4 linked regions of the Saccharomyces cerevisiae S288C genome follow. Changing the gene in region 4 together with the main gene of any one other region gives a genetic interaction. Each region holds a gene or a part of one and is shown on either strand. Other genes may lie near its edges. The genes, in order: AFG2, STF2, YNR064C and TCB1.

Region 1 (4,393 bases), on a different chromosome or scaffold from region 4:
AATAAGAAAAATAAGATCCATTTGCGGAACGCTGCCTAAGGCACTCGGTAAATCGTCACTTAGCTGATCATCGAGTAACGTAATTTTCCTTACAGGAGTTGATTGAGTCAAATCTTGGAAAGTTAGCAAACTATTGAGTACTGGCAATACACTTGGTTGAACCACAAGAACTTCATCATTTTGAGATATCTCATTTAAGGTAGCACATAGTCCATCGGCATTTGTTAATGAAAATTTCTTAGTATTCCAAAATCTATTCATCGTGAAATGATTTGATAAAGTTGGAGATGGGCAATATCAGCTTTTTCTTCCTTTCTCGAATTTTCTATCTTTTAACTAATTAACATATAACTAGTTCCAATTTGCTAACCTTTATGATATTTTATTTATGTATGTTCGTGTGAAGTGATTAATATATTATACAAAATGACCGGAGTTCAGTATAATTTCTATCTACTATTATTGAGCACACAAAGGAAAAGAATTGACTATGAACAAGCTTACGAAGATGAACCGCTTCTTAGAGCAAACTCTTCATAATAAGAGAGCATTTCTGGAGTAATGCCCCTAGCAATTCCTTTAAAAGCTTTCTCAAAATGACGTAATTCCACTTTTGCGACATCTAAATCTTCCATTATGGCAGCCAAGCCCGCTTCTTGACAAAGCAGCACAACTTCAGCTCCGGAATAACCTTCTGTACGGTCTGCCAATTCATGAAGATCGACTCCAGACTCTTCTGTATTAAATTTCTTTGTGCACTTCTTTAAGATTTCCAAGCGGGCGTTTACGTCTGGAGGGCCAACGTAAATGTGTCTATCTAACCTACCAGGCCTTAGAAGAGCAGCATCTATTTCATCAGGTCTATTCGTCGCCGCTACAATAACTACACCCTTTAACTCTTCAACACCATCAATCTCATTGAGTAAAGATGTGAGCACGTGATTAGCTGCAGAGGTGGAACTCCCGTCTCTATCAGGAGATAATGCATCGATTTCATCAAAGAAGATAATACTTGGAGCTGCAGAGCGTGCTTTGCGGAAAATTTCTCTTATAGCTCTTTCGGATTCCCCTACATACTTGTTAAAAATTTCAGGCCCTTTCACAGCTAAGAAGTTGATACCCGATTCTGTAGCGAGAGCTTTTGCGGTTAATGTCTTGGAGCAACCTGGCGGCCCGTAAAGTAATACACCTTTTGGTGCAGAAATTCCCAGCCTGGCAAAAGTCTCCGAAGCCTCCAAAGGCAACTGTATCATTTCTTTCATCTTTGTTTTAAGCTCTTCTTGGCCGCCAATGTCAGACCAATAAACTTTTGGCATTTCTAAGAAGATTTCTCTCATTGCGCTGGGTCTGATATCAACCATGGCGCTCTCCACATCTTTCAATGTAACTTTTAGGGAAAACTTGTCAATATTGGCGTCTGTTCCTAGTCCTCGTTGTATCGTCTTCATAACTGATTCTCTGCAGAGAGCAGTTAAATCAGCACCAACATAGCCATGCGTTTTAGAAGCAATGTACTTGATCGCTTCAGAATCTAATACGTGACGATCCGAGGACATTCTTGAGAATTGCTTAGTTAAAATGTCAAATCTGGCATCAACGTCTGGTATACCAATTTCTACTTCTTGGTCAAACCTGCCAGGTCTCCTGAGAGCAGGGTCGACAGAATTAGGCCTGTTTGTAGCAGCAATTACCACCACTTTACCTGCAGCGCCCATGCCATCCATTAGGGTAAGCAATGTAGCCACGACTCTGCTCTCAACTTCACCGGAGTCATCGTTTGCTCTATTTGGTGCTATTGAATCAATTTCGTCAATGAAAATAATGGAAGGCTGGTACTTCCTTGCTTCATTAAAAATATCTCTTAATGCCGCTTCCGTTTCACCAAGATATTTGGAGACGATTGAGGGGCCATTAATGGTTAGGACGTGTGCGTTGGACGTATTTGCTACAACTCTCAAAAGCATAGTTTTACCAGTACCTGGGGGTCCGTGAAGAAGTATACCTCGAGGGGGAGAAACACCAAAGCTACTAAATAGCGTCGGTTGATGAAGAGGTATTTCAATAGCACTTTTCAGTGATTCAATCTCCTTGTCTAAGCCGCCCACTGCTGCATAGGATAAGGGCTCCGGAAGATTGTATTTACGATTTGCCTGGGTTTCTTTCGAAAAAGTTATATGTGTGGAGCCTTTTCTGAATATAAAAGGTGGAGATAGATAAAACAGGTTATCTAATCCACCGTACATATCGTCCATGTTAAGATCTAGTTGGCTGACGTCGGGAAGCGAATCATCGCTCGCATCTGTAATTACGACATCAATGCTTTCATCACCTGCTTTTGTTTTTAAGTTTTGAAAAATCATTCCAGGCATTATAACGCCACTATCATCCAGTAGCTTTTGAATTACTTTTTCCTCCATACATTCCAAAATATTATATCCTTGTAAGGACCCCACGGTAACCTTAGTGGCATAAGGTGGTTGCACCTGGGCTTTCTTTAATTCTAGACGATCACCAAGGATAAGGTTCCCAACAGATCGTATAGTTGTGGAAAGGGTGATAACATTAACAGGATGTACTTCTTCATCACCCGCTCTAGCTATTACTAAAATACCATTTTCGCCTATCTTACCGACAGTACAAAATGATCCCGGATTTATCTCAAGCGAGGATAATACGTTAGGATGAATATATGCTGTGCATGTTTCCTTGCCATGATCTTTAGAAGGATGTGGTCTGGTAATAAATTCAGCAGGCAATTTAAATTTGGATGCTTTTGCATCAGCACTATTAGAACTTGCCGATGATTTCTTTTTGGAACCGGAAGAACTAGATTTAGGAGCCATTTTCCTTTCTATGATTGGGCAATTTTGAGAATGGGCAATGTTGAGAATTCAATTGTATATTGTTCGCATATTAGTTTATGTGATGAGGCAATATAAAATTTTCTTACAATAGTCCGCCCGTTGCTTACATGAAAGAAAAAAAAAATAAAGATGGATCGAAGTGGACTTAAAAACTATGTATACGTGTGTGTGTGTGTGTGCAATAAGAGTTCGAAAACATTAACTTTTATAAACATGACTCACATTGAGAATAAATGAGCTCTCTATAAATACAAACTTGCGGCGAAAACAATATCTCTCTTAATCAACTCTTGAGCCCTGCTCATCTTCATATGTAATGTGGAATTACCAATAATAATAGAGGCAGTCTTAACTTCGCGGCAAATTTCGTCTAGCCAAGTGATAACTCTGACTACAGTACCTTCAGCCTCGGGGCTCATTTCCATGATTTCTTTGAATGATAAACCACGGGCCCACTCATACACCACATTCATCATGGCAAACCTTTTTCTGTCCAAAAACTCAGCTTCATCCTGAGTTAATGGAATCTGATGCGTATTGAAAACACAAAGCATTTTCTTGTAAATTTCCTCAATTCTTTGTTTACCCTTTGCTAGCCTTGGTGTGACAATAGGAGGCTCCTCTTCCCTGGTTTTCCCCTCATAAACAAATACTGATAATAAGGCTACAATCTCTTCAGGTTCAAAGCTTCCTAAAAAGTTGTCTAAAATTAATTCAGTTAAAACTAACTCATAACCAGAATTAATTTCACATGCCACTCTACCTTTTAACAGCACGTTGTGGTTTTGGTCGATAAATTCAGTGTCTTTCAGAACAGCCAATCTCTTTTCATAATCGGGTAGTAAGCTCAGATTTTGGTCAGACATCAAATGGTACAATTCTTCAATTTTCTTTTTAATTACATGCGCCTTAAACTTGGGAACAATGTGTTGGCTTAGGTTGGGACATTTAATGCTTTTTAGTTTGAATATCTCATCCCTTATATTTGTACGGTCTAACAATATTTGGTGAATTTTTAAACCTTGCTTTTCAATGTTAATTGCTTCTTTTAGCGTTTTGCCGTCCAAAATGTTATTTGTTTCAGCGTTAAACTCGTTCAAAGCGGCAACATCCTTTTTAATCACTTTTCCCAAGGGTGCGGCAAACTTGCGTTTAGTGATCACTTCAATAGCCGTCACAGGAACTTCTTCCATATAAAAATCAGTCTTCTGGAATTTAGGGAAGTTCCTTCTTCTGTATCCATCCGCTTTTGGAAAGTATATTAAATGATTTGGCTCACCATTTGGGAGTTTGTATGGTTTTGTGAACGTCATAATGACACAAACAGCATCCTTCAGAGAAACTTTAAATACAAATCCTAATTTCAAGCAATCATTGGGGTCCCTAAAAGCAACGAGTCTGCCCTCTTTCAAGATATGCAATATCGAAGGCGATTTAACCATTTCTTGCATTAGGTTGACTGTTGCCTCCTTATATGCCAGCATCAATTCCAAAAACTTTTCGATATCATTATCACAGATTTCACAACT
Region 2 (2,868 bases), on a different chromosome or scaffold from region 4:
GGAATTGAGTTTCTATTCTGTCGCCCAAGATGCCGTTTCAAAACATTGTTATGTCTTTCAGAGGGATTTGGACAATGTCTTGGTCAATGGTGGATACAAATTCGATGCAGAAGATTGTGTTTATGTTGACGGGGATTTTGACTTATTCCATATGGGGGATATTGATCAGTTAAGAAAGCTGAAAATGGATCTTCACCCCGATAAGAAATTGATTGTTGGTATTACCACAAGCGATTACTCGAGTACCATTATGACGATGAAGGAACGCGTCTTGAGCGTTTTAAGTTGTAAATATGTTGATGCCGTTATTATCGATGCTGACGCCACCTCAATGTCTCAGTATAACTGCGAGAAGTATCATATTGGCACGGCTGTCCTCACTGCTGCCGGAAAATTCAGTGAATACTTGACTAAAGAGCTTATTGTGAAGAGGGTGGAATCGCAAAGGGAGGTTTACATTGCGAGGAACCAAAAAAAGGGAATGTCCATATAAACAAATGTTGAAAACTTCTTCGAACGTAAATTAAATGGATGTAAGAAAACTGTATTACATAAGTCATGAAGTAGGCATGCAAGTATATACCTATAGATGCATATAAATCAGTGGAGAAGGCCACTATCCTTCAGAGATCAAAAAACCTTTTTTTATCTTGAAAACGCCCTCATTCCTTTTGGACGTTTTCAAACTTTTGTTCATGCGATTGCAAATTTGAGCCTCTTCTATCTTTCTTGAACACTGGGGGTATTTCACCATTATCAATTAAGTCATCAATCTCATCGCCTGGCTTACCCCAATTACCCTTGCCGGAACCTTGCTTCTTGATGTGATTTGGAGATTCACCGTAGTTACCAGTGTGCGAAAAGTACTTTGGATCAGCCTTTCCTTCACGTTCGGTCCACTTGTTTGTTCTCGTCATTTTTTCTGATTGGTTGTACACTTGAGCGGTTTGTTACTGTTGATTGTTCGTTTATTTGTATAATTGAGTTTACACAACAATTGTTACAATAGTATGGGTAATTAGGGCCAAGAGAGTGACAAAAAGCAAACTTATAAATAGTCCTTTTATACAAATGACAAGTGTTCGCTTCTGCGCTCGCAGCCCCCTGTTTTCGAAGGAGTTTCTTAGCCTAAGCTAGGCAGGCGCGCCCCCATTATCTATCCCTTCATTGCTTACTGAGAGGTTTTCCTCCCCCCCTCCGCGTATATTTCCTCCGCTGGAGAAAATTAGTTGTGGGACGGATAGCATCACTTAATTCTGTACCTTTTTGAAACTGGCTTGGTACTTTCTGTTGGATAGCAACATTTCCCGCTGGGATACTTCAACATGGGCTATGAATTTTCTTTTGTCTTTTATCTTTTATCTTTTATCTTTTATCTTTAAATTATTTGAGCTCGGTTAAGTTCATAACTATTGCGTGCCCGAATGGTATTCTTTCAATTCACAACCAAACATTAAAATGAAGAAAGCATACTCTTATATTATATCAATGTCTTTTTCTTTACTTATTTGTCTTTGCTCATAAATTTCTACATAATGGTAGTAATGGTGATGAAATGTTGTTACTTGTGATATATTACATAGTTTTTACAGGCATATTCTATCTGATACCTGCCAACCTGTTGGTATTCATATGGAGATTGATATCTAGATCATCAGTGCTTTCCTCAATGTTGTTGAGACGTTTTTGCTGAGAGTCTAATTCTTTACCAGTGGTCAAGGCCATTTTCTTCAATCTGTTGCTAACCTGCTGAATCTGGTCCAAATTCCTATCAATTTCCAATTCCATTTCGTCATCTTCTTCATCATTCTCAAACTGATATCTCTTTGCCTTTTCTAGAACATTCTTCCTCTGATATCTTTCCCGCACCTCACTTATGTTATTATTTGCGTTCATAGCACCCTCTATTCTTTGAGTGGACTGAGACAATTGTTGACTTGTTTGCTCTCTCATTAATTTTTCTTCAATTTTCCTATTCTTCAGCTGCTCTTCCCTCTCCCTTCTCCTTCTCTTGGAATTAAACGGATTAGAAACATGGACAGCCAATATACTACGGTTCAATTTTTTTAGTTCTGCAACTTTTTCATCTGCAACTTTATTTTGCACCTTCATTAAATCTAAGTTTCCTTCTACGTTATTCAATTGTTCACTTTGATGACCCAGCATACCCAATGTGTTCATACCTGCTCTTTCGGCGTCTTGAGCCATTTTTAGTGTATTTCTAGTAGAGGCTACGGAACTCTGTTTCGTAAATTTGATCTCCTGCTTGATTTCATCTACTGCTTCATCTTCTTCCTGCTGCTGGCGAGCCTCCTCTTCTTTTTGTATTTCTTCAAATGTTTTGTAACCCCTTTGATCTCCATATTGGTTATTTGTTGCGTTAAAGTGTTGCTGTTGCTGTTGCTGCTCATCCATGAACCACTGTTGCTGCTGCTGCTGTCTTGAACTATGATCAACTTCGGACGCATTTAAATCTATTGAATCTTCATTCGTCATTACTGCATTCAAATCAGGCTCATCTAATGCCGCTCTATTTTCTGCAGACTTGTCAGCATAAACTTCTTCAAAATCAAATTCACCTGTTCTAGGTTCTTCATTTAAATCAACTTCACTATTGCGTGCTGCTTCATCAGAAGCAATAAAAGAGGGCGTATAAGTCATTGGAGCTTGTTGCGATTGCGGTTGACGCACACTTCTACTAGAATATGGATTTGCAGACCTGTTCAAATTTCCATTACTATATGAGTCGTTCGCCATAGAGGCGTATGGATTTGCATTCTTGGAGCTTCCTTGTCGAGTACCGCTAGATCTATTAGTATTGGAGTCATACGCCCCGCCATAACTATTCATATCAGCGTAAGGATTTCT
Region 3 (3,092 bases), on a different chromosome or scaffold from region 4:
TGATCATGGTGGAGTCTTGGTTTTGGTCCCCGAAAACGCAGAAACTGATTCTATTTCTTACTCCACCGATTTTGGTAAAACATGGAAAGATTATAAATTCTGTGGCGACAAAGTCCTCGTAAAGGATATAATCACCGTTCCCAGAGATTCTGCTTTGAGGTTTTTGCTATTTGGAGAAGCAAAAAACATGGGTAGTGGTTCATTCAGAACGTATACAATTGATTTTAGAAACATCTTCGAGAGGCAATGTGAGTTTGATATTACGGGTAAAAAAAGGGCAGATTTTAAGTACTCTCCTCTGGGTTCCAGAACTGGTTGTCTATTTGGTCATCAAACCGAGTTTTTACGTAAAACCGATGAAAAATGTTTTATTGGGAATATTCCACTTTCTGAATTTTCGAGGAACGTCAAAAACTGTTCATGTACGAGGCAAGATTTCGAATGTGACTATAATTTTTATAAAGCCAGTGATGGTACTTGTAAATTAGTCAAAGGCTTAAGTTCGGCGAATGGTGCCGATATCTGCAAAAAGGAACCCGACTTAATTGAATACTATGATTCCTCTGGCTATCGAAAAATTCCCTTATCAACCTGTAAAGGTGGGCTGAAATTGGATGCACATTTAGCACCACATCCTTGTCCGGGAAAAGAAAAGGCATTCAGGGAAAAATATTCTATAAACACCGGCGCTTATGCGCTGGTTTTTGTTACAATTCTTCTCGTTATTTTCTTTGCCGCATGGTTTGTATACGATAGAGGTATCAGGAGAAATGGGGGATTTTCAAGATTTGAAGAAATAAGATTAGGAGACGATGGGCTGATAGAAAACAATAGGACCGATAGAGTTGTCAACATCATTGTAAGACTAGGATTATGCATTTCTTTAATTACCAAGTCTGCATTTCAACGCACGAAGGCAGGTGTAGCACGCTTTTCTTCAAAATTAAGGGCAAGGTTTGGCAACAGAAAAGGTCCTACTTACTCTTCGCTGCTTCAGGGTCAGTTTTCAGATGAATCAGATGGCTTGCATGAAGATGCTAACGATTTATCCAGTTTCACAAGTCAAGACAGTAATTTTGAAATTGAACAAGAAGATGCTTACAGACCCGAACAAGAGCACACGTCACAGATAGACCAGCCTGCCACTAGCAATATTCCAGACGCATTGCCAGCACGTAGTGCTATTCACAAGCCTGATTCAACTGCTGTGCGCAACGAGGACGAGTAAATAGATTTTTTTAATAGACTAAATAATCGTATGTTTGCTAACAAAAAGTACGCATATGCATTTTCTCAATATTGTGCATTTTCTAAATCTCCATTCACCTTTGTTATTAACATAGTCATTTAAAGGTATGATAATTCAGTATTCATCTTTTCCACAGACGGCGCTGCATGCCATTCGTCTGTAACTTGCCTAGGGACTGCGCCGCACATAATCGTGACAGAAATTTCAAAAGTGATAGGAGCCAAAAGTGATAGGAGCCAAAAAGAACATATATAAGCACGATCAAATTAACTGAACTTGACCACTTTTCTTTCACTGTCAGAATTGGACGAAGGACAAAAATGTCAAATATCATTGCAAGATTTCACAAGATTCAAGTTCAAGACGGTGTAAAGGTTTGGTACCGTGAGGCCGGTGCAGCAGGTAACCCCACAATTTTATTGCTACATGGGTTCCCTACATCTTCCAACATGTTCAGGAACCTCATTCCCTTACTAGCTGGACAGTTTCACATCATTGCTCCGGATCTTCCTGGGTTCGGATTTACGGAAACGCCAGAAAACTACAAGTTCAGCTTTGATTCCCTTTGTGAAAGTATAGGATATTTGTTAGATACTTTGAGTATTGAAAAATTTGCCATGTATATATTTGATTATGGATCTCCGGTAGGTTTTCGGTTAGCCTTGAAGTTTCCCTCCAGAATTACTGGCATTGTTACTCAAAACGGTAATGCTTACGAAGAGGGTCTCGATGACCGCTTTTGGGGTCCGTTGAAGGAATATTGGAAGTCATATCAAAGTGATCCGGTATTTGTTAAATCCCTTATCCCGTACCTTGAAGATCCAGCTAATGTCATATGCCAGTACCATGATGGAGTACCAGCTATCGAATCTGTTGATCCCGCCGCTTATACGCTTGATATTGCGCTAATTCAGCGTACCGGCCAGACCGATATTCAATTGAGATTATTTTTCGATTATCAGAATAATATAAAGTTGTACCCAGCCTTTCAAAAGTTCTTGAGAGATTCAAAGATTCCTGTGCTAGTTGCATGGGGTGCGAATGATACTATTTTTAGCGTTGCCGGGGCTGAAGCTTATCGGAAAGACGTTGATAATTTAAAGGTTGTTTACTATGATACTGGCCATTTTGCGCTTGAAACTCACGTAGTTGCTATTGCCGAAGAAATCATCAGTATGTTTGCAGAAAATTAAAGATACTAAGTTCTTGTGACAATGTTTTCTGAGAAGAATCTCTCGTATTTTGTTTAATTGCCAAAAACACATATGTTTCGACTCACATAGAGTTGCCTCAGAGCGTTCTTTTGTTACCCATTATTGCTCATAAATAAGTCAAAACAGATGTCTGGTCGCATTATCAAGGGTTTGTACTGGTAGCCCGGTGACAATATATTAATCTAAGCATATAACATTTTTAGTAAGTTCTTCAGCCACCTTTTTTACGATCTATGTTGTTTTGAAGGGTAAACCTACTACCATGTCATATGGATCTTTCCCCTAGTAAACTTGTATCTCAAAAGGTCATTTCTGAATAAAGTGTCAAAAAATCAGCTAGGAAACGGTTTAGTAAAGTATGCGACCCCAAAATTCGACAAAGCTATCACCACTCAGCTGTACTGGACTGATCGGATATTTGATTATATCAATAAGGTTTTGTTCAATAGGAAGTACCTGAACTAAATCTTGCAATATTTCCAATGCTAGAATGTATTCAAATAGTTCAGTACCTTTAAGGAACTGCACCACCTGCTTATACCTTAGGAGTATAATACATGAAATACATAATGTCAGTGACGCTGTTCTTAAAGGATAACAAAAATTCCAATCCAAACGTTCATGCCTTT
Region 4 (5,770 bases):
TTGCATGATCAGTGCCTATATGTTCAACCAAATCAGGAATACCCAATTGGCAGGCGTTGGTCCTAAGGGCGAGGTTATGTATTTCTTGCCCAATGAATTCCAACACCAATTCGCCATTGAAACTCAAGTCATGGTTCTTATTTACGGAACATTGGCCGCGTTGGTTGTCGTATTGGTCAAGGGTATACAATTCTTGCGGTCTCATTTGTATCCAGAGACCAAGAAAGCGTACTTCATTGATGCTATTTTGGCCTCCTTTTGTGCCTTATTCATTTATGTCTTCTTTGCTGCTTTGACAACCGTGTTCACGATAAAGAGTCCTGCTTACCCTTTTCCTTTACTAAGGTTATCGGCACCATTCAAATAAGTCAGTTTTTTTTTTTGTTTTCACCATAACAAAGAGATGGAAAGTTATACTAGATAAAGATTTTTAAAAAATATAAAAGAAAATAAAACGAAATTTATATTTTACACAGTGCATCTTGTCCCTCTCTTTCTCGCTAAAACTTAGTTTCTTCTTCGCCCATCTCATGATTCTTCTTATGGTTTGTGAGGCTGCCTAGTCCACCGAATACCCCTTTCTTGATCTTGCCAATGGCACCAACACCGCCGCCTATCACGGTCGTACCAGCTTTCAAACCAGTACCTAGTCCCTTGGATGCTATATCTCCGACCTTCTTTTCTCTTTTACTCACGCTAATGGTGTATCTTGGCTTAAAGCTGAAAGCTAAATGCAACATACCACCGTCTTGACCAGCGTTCTCTAATCCTTCTACCGGTACGTCTAATTCGGTAGTACCCTCGACTTTGACCTTATTCAATGGGATTTCTGCTGTACCAATGGTATCATCCGCAGATGTGGAATCCCAGTCCATGACTTTGATTCTTAGAACATCATTTAAACGGTTATTGATTTGAATAGTTCCTTCATCATTCCATTTAGGATTCAAAGTTTTCTTAACAACCTTCGTCTTGTAAGCGCAGTCTTCCTCATTATTGATGTAATACTTTAAGTATGGGTCCGAATAACCATTTAAATCGGATGCTATCAAGTTTTCTGCACTCCTCGACATAATCGTCAAATCACCAGAATTTGTGATCAGGTCATTTGCCGGCAACTGTTTTGTATCAATAGGGAACCATGATATTTGGAGCATTAGTTTAGCACTGCCTTCACCTGAAAGATGTAATATTGATGGCTTATAATAACAGTTCTTAACTAACTCTTGTGTGGGTAGTTCTACTTCACAAACGCATTTCTCCACTCTGTTGTAGTTTTTATTTTTAGCAACTCTAAAAGTGGTAATGGATTTGTCCAATTCTTTTATGATCACGTCACCTGACCAACCATTCTTGACAATTCTCGATGGAATACGTGGACTAACAAATCTTGGATGACCATTATCATCGAAAAACGCTTGGACGTATAGCCCAGAGTCGGGCAATTCCCCATTAAGGACAGTGACAGCAAGAACACCTTGGTTGTATTGCAATAATTCTGGCAAATCCAATTTCTGTCTATTACTATACATGTCTTCCAATTCTTTGACCTCATTCCATTCTTGATCAAATTTGGCTTTGTCTTCTTTAGAAATTTTTTTCTCATCAATTGCTGACTTACGCAGTTCCAATGCTTTTTTCTTTTTGTTAACTTTATCTAAATCTTGGATTTCCTCTAACGTTAAAACAGGTAAAGCGGGATAAAAGGAGGTATAGTATGTTATAGTGCCCTTAGGTTTTTTCTTAGGCATCACTAGACGACCAACTTTAGCTTTTTCATCAATAGTTTCCTCATATTTATCATTCTCATCCTTCTTAAATAAATCTTGAACGTTAACATTGAATTCACCAAGTGAACGATCTTTGTTGACTGTTTCGACATCCATACATTGAAGCGTAATTCTTTGGTTTGGTGAAGTAACTGCAACATAAATAACTTGATTCCAGACAGGATTCAAAGTTTGGCTCTTGAAATCAGTTCTACCCTTCGATAAACCATTAACCAAAACTTTACAGTATGGATCAATGGTACCAAACTTTTCCAAATTTCTCAAATCGTTTGCCTTCTCAATGAATACTCTGATGGCGCCAATTGGTGGCGTGTAAGCTACAGAGTTGGAACCAATCTCCAGTCTAACAGGTCTCCAATATGTGGTAATCTTTATGTCACCCTTTTGGTTTTTTAATGGAATCAAATTTTTGTTCACTTGGCTTCTATCTATTAAATCATTCAGGGTTTGAATGGTAGATCCAATTTCTTCTCCTTTGCCATCCTTGACGACAAACTTATATCTTGTTTTACGACGATCTGCAATAACTGCTTCGTAGTCTGAATTCCACTTCAATGTACCAGTGTCAGTTGCCTTACCAGTGGTTAACACTAGTTTAGCATTCAAGTAAACTTCAACGTAGGCAGTAACCTTCTGTTCTTCTTCAGCAAAACGAGAACCTTCTTCGACCACAACTTTAGCAATACCAGTATTCAAATCCGGTAGTTCCTCCACAGATCCATCCGGCAACTTTTTCTCTTCTAAAGTTGGGAAGAATCTTAAATCAAAAGTCAATTCCCCAACCGGTTTAGAGTTTCTTAAAAACTGAGCTTTCAAGTTTCTTTGCGTGGTTTTATCATGTAAAGTATTCAAGTTGTACTGAATTCTGCCTAGGACTTTATCCTTCAATTTTGCACGCTTATCATAAACACTAATGGTCAAGGGGTCAGTGAATGAGTTTAACAAGACGTACAGAGTTTCGTCCCAAACGGGGTTCAATGTGTCTCTTACGGTTCTTGTCTTGGCAATAGATATATCGTTAAATTCGAAAGATAAGTAAGGGTCGATTGATTCGTTCAATATCGAAGAGGTACGTTTTAGCCCCTTTGCATTTTTGACAGTTATTTCTAATATACCAATGGACAAGTTGGAACCAGATAAGAGTTGTGGAATGTTCAATTGTAAAGAAAATGGAGGTAACAAGATTGGACCCATATATTTCTTGGCCATCTTTTGTATTAGTGTCATAAGGCCTGGGATAGCTAAAATTTCCCAATTGAAGATGGAACGGCCGAATAAGGTAGCAACAAAATCAAAATCAGGAACCTTCAGTAGCTGGATATTAACAGTTTCGACATGAGGGAAGGGAGTCATCAATTTGAATTTCACTCTAGCATGAGCCTTGAAAGCAATGTCTGACACAGAAACAGGGATGGTGATACCAAAAATTTTGGCCTTAACAACCGCTAATTCATTAACGTAATTTCTGACTTGCTTAGCACTCATGTCGCATAAATCGTGAGGAGTAAAAGAAATACCCCAGTCCATCACAACAACATCGGATGCAGTGTTTTGGAAAGTCTTCACCAAATCAACTCTGGGGGGTTTAACACCAAGTGTCAACTCATCGATCCATAGTTGAGTAATAAATTTGGGAATCGCCTCATTAGTAGCCATTTGTTCATTAGCTTGCTGAACGATTAATTGACTAACGGAAGGTTCTAAAATGGGCCAGTACTTATCCAAAAAGGCATTCAACCATTCTAGGGATTCATAGTCGTTTTCCACTTTCTGCACCGTGAACTCTTTCTGGACTAACTCTCTTATGGAACCTCTGTATTTTTTAGCAGAGGTTCTATACAACAATGAAGTGATAACGATGACAAAAAAGGCCGACCCCATTGAAAACTTATAATGACCAAGTGCAAATGATGCCACGCCTCCGATAAAGAAAATGGCTACCGAATGATACCAGTCACCGTAAAGGCTGTCCGGTATGATGTTATCTAAGAAGGTTTCTCTAGTCATATCCATCAATTCATCATCTAAAGTTAATTCGTCTTTGTCTTCCCAGCCACCAATCTGTTTCCAGCCGACATAAGAAGCTTCATGGATACTTCTCTTGAAGCTTTCATCACTAGCATGTGCCGCCTTCTCAGATGACACGCTTTTACTGGATTCGGTTTCCTCTTTCGTCTTTGGAGGTTCTAACTTATCTATCCCATTTATGTTAGCTACTTGGGCTGTTTCGGGCTTCTTTGGTGCTGTTACCCCAGTATCTTCTTTGGCCATATTGTATGTACCACGCAATTGAAGTTTTCAGAATGCACTAGCTATCTTTTTTTATCTTAGCTATTCTTCTTCAATTATCCTACTTATTCTTCAGCAAAAAAAAAATAATAAGCTAAGACAATGCTATACAAGTCAATTACCAGCCAGTAAGTCCAAATTGGAGTAGCCAATGCTATTAGTTGATAATTTTGACGGCCGATTATACTATTCCAATTGCAGCAACATCCCTGTCCCTTAGCTTTTTGAGGGGCCTTTTGTTATAATTTTTCATGCAGCATTCCGGTCGCCAAAGTTGTTATCACTTCTAACGTAAATCGTTTTCTCGTTATGTCCGCTATTTTAGAATGAGAATAATGGATAAAATTGGCCTAAAAAGGGAGCGAGTATAACGTTACTGAGATACAATTGTACATTTTGCCATGGAAATGAGCCAACTAGTCTAATGAGATTTTCAATGCTTTATTTCTTTTTTTAGTTTCTCATTTTATTGTTTCTCTAGTTATTAGTCCTTTGGTTATTTTTATGTCACCACCTCTTGTCACATGACCATTTTTGTTACTTGCTTGGTTTTACAATGATTTATACATTCTTGGGCCTCTCTTGACATATTTTTATCGTCATAATAAGTTCTTCATTCGTTCTCTAAAACAACAAAGTTAGACTCCATGGCCAAGTTGGTTAAGGCGTGCGACTGTTAATCGCAAGATCGTGAGTTCAACCCTCACTGGGGTCGTTAATTTTTTAATTTTTCTCCTACACTGTTGCTATGTCGGAGTTATCTCATAAGAGCTGAAAATATGTGGTAAATTTAGTCAGTATCCTTCGAGGATCAGCTAGAGCCTATTCAATGCAATTGTCATTAATCAGTGGCTTGGTAAGGCAATAGAATTCAGTTATAAAATATAATATTACTAGAACAGGAGCATTATGGTATCAGCCAACGGCGACTTGCACTTGCCAATTTCTAACGAACAGTGCATGCCGGAAAACAATGGATCTCTTGGATTTGAGGCCCCCACTCCGAGACAGATTCTCAGGGTTACGTTAAATTTGAAATACTTAATTGATAAGGTCGTACCTATTGTTTACGATCCCAATGATATTGTTTGTGACCATTCTGAGATTTTATCTCCAAAAGTTGTGAAGCTGGCTTATGAAGCATGTGGCGGGAACCCTAAAGACAAGGCCAACAAAAGAAAATATCAATCTGTCATTATTTTTTCACTTCTTAAAGTTTGTGAGTGGTATTCCATATTGGCCACTATGGAAGTGCACAATGCCAAACTTTACGAAACCAGAAATTTAGCCTCACAACAGTTATGTAAATTGTTAATTGAAAGGGAGGAGACAAGAGACCTGCAGTTTCTTTTCATGCAGTTACTGCTGCGTCGGTACGTAATCAACGAGAACGATGAAGATCAAGAACCGTTGAATGCCTTGGAACTTGCCACAGATATGCACTGTACTACAGTGATAGGATCGAGTGGATTTCAGCGTTGTTTAAAATGGATATGGAGAGGATGGATAGTCCAAAATGGCTTGGATCCCACAACTTTTATCAAGGACGATTCACTGGCGGAAGTGTCATTGATCTCTCATTTCAACCCCGTAAGATTAAAGGCGCCTGTATACCAAAATTATTTGCAGATGATCTTCTCATTTTTGTTTCTAGGGCTTTATACCTTGGTGGTTAATGGTAAGGACTCTGA

What was found.
Region 1: mutations in TCB1 (region 4) and AFG2 together harm fitness more than expected from each alone (negative genetic interaction), as found in Saccharomyces cerevisiae (one large-scale study listed by BioGRID).
Region 2: mutations in TCB1 (region 4) and STF2 together harm fitness less than expected from each alone (positive genetic interaction), as found in Saccharomyces cerevisiae (one large-scale study listed by BioGRID).
Region 3: mutations in TCB1 (region 4) and YNR064C together harm fitness more than expected from each alone (negative genetic interaction), as found in Saccharomyces cerevisiae (one large-scale study listed by BioGRID).

The regions. Positions count from the first base shown.
Region 1 is NC_001144.5:912,050-916,442, forward strand, and holds AFG2 (AAA family ATPase AFG2), read right to left. Parts: upstream 2,844-4,393; coding exon 501-2,843; downstream 1-500. Other genes in the region: tethering complex ATP-binding subunit VPS33, read right to left, coding at 1-261; SKI complex RNA helicase subunit SKI2, read right to left, coding at 3,107-4,393. UniProt on the Saccharomyces cerevisiae protein: ATP-dependent chaperone which uses the energy provided by ATP hydrolysis to generate mechanical force to disassemble protein complexes.
Region 2 is NC_001139.9:507,448-510,315, forward strand, and holds STF2 (ATPase-stabilizing factor family protein), read right to left. Parts: upstream 918-2,868; coding exon 663-917; downstream 1-662. Other genes in the region: ECT1 (ethanolamine-phosphate cytidylyltransferase), read left to right, coding at 1-493; SEC9 (Sec9p), read right to left, coding at 1,600-2,868. UniProt on the Saccharomyces cerevisiae protein: Found to stabilize, together with STF1, a complex of intrinsic ATPase inhibitor INH1 and proton-translocating ATPase (F(1)F(0)-ATPase) in mitochondrial membranes. Binds to the F0 part and may function to hold the ATPase inhibitor or STF1 on the F1 subunit.
Region 3 is NC_001146.8:748,486-751,577, reverse strand, and holds YNR064C (epoxide hydrolase), read left to right. Parts: upstream 1-1,569; coding exon 1,570-2,442; downstream 2,443-3,092. Other genes in the region: YNR065C (uncharacterized protein), read left to right, coding at 1-1,228; PUL4 (Pul4p), read right to left, coding at 2,812-3,092.
Region 4 is NC_001147.6:482,719-488,488, forward strand, and holds TCB1 (tricalbin), read right to left. Parts: upstream 4,062-5,770; coding exon 501-4,061; downstream 1-500. Other genes in the region: dolichyl-diphosphooligosaccharide--protein glycotransferase OST3, read left to right, coding at 1-367; YVC1 (Yvc1p), read left to right, coding at 4,989-5,770. UniProt on the Saccharomyces cerevisiae protein: May play a role in membrane trafficking.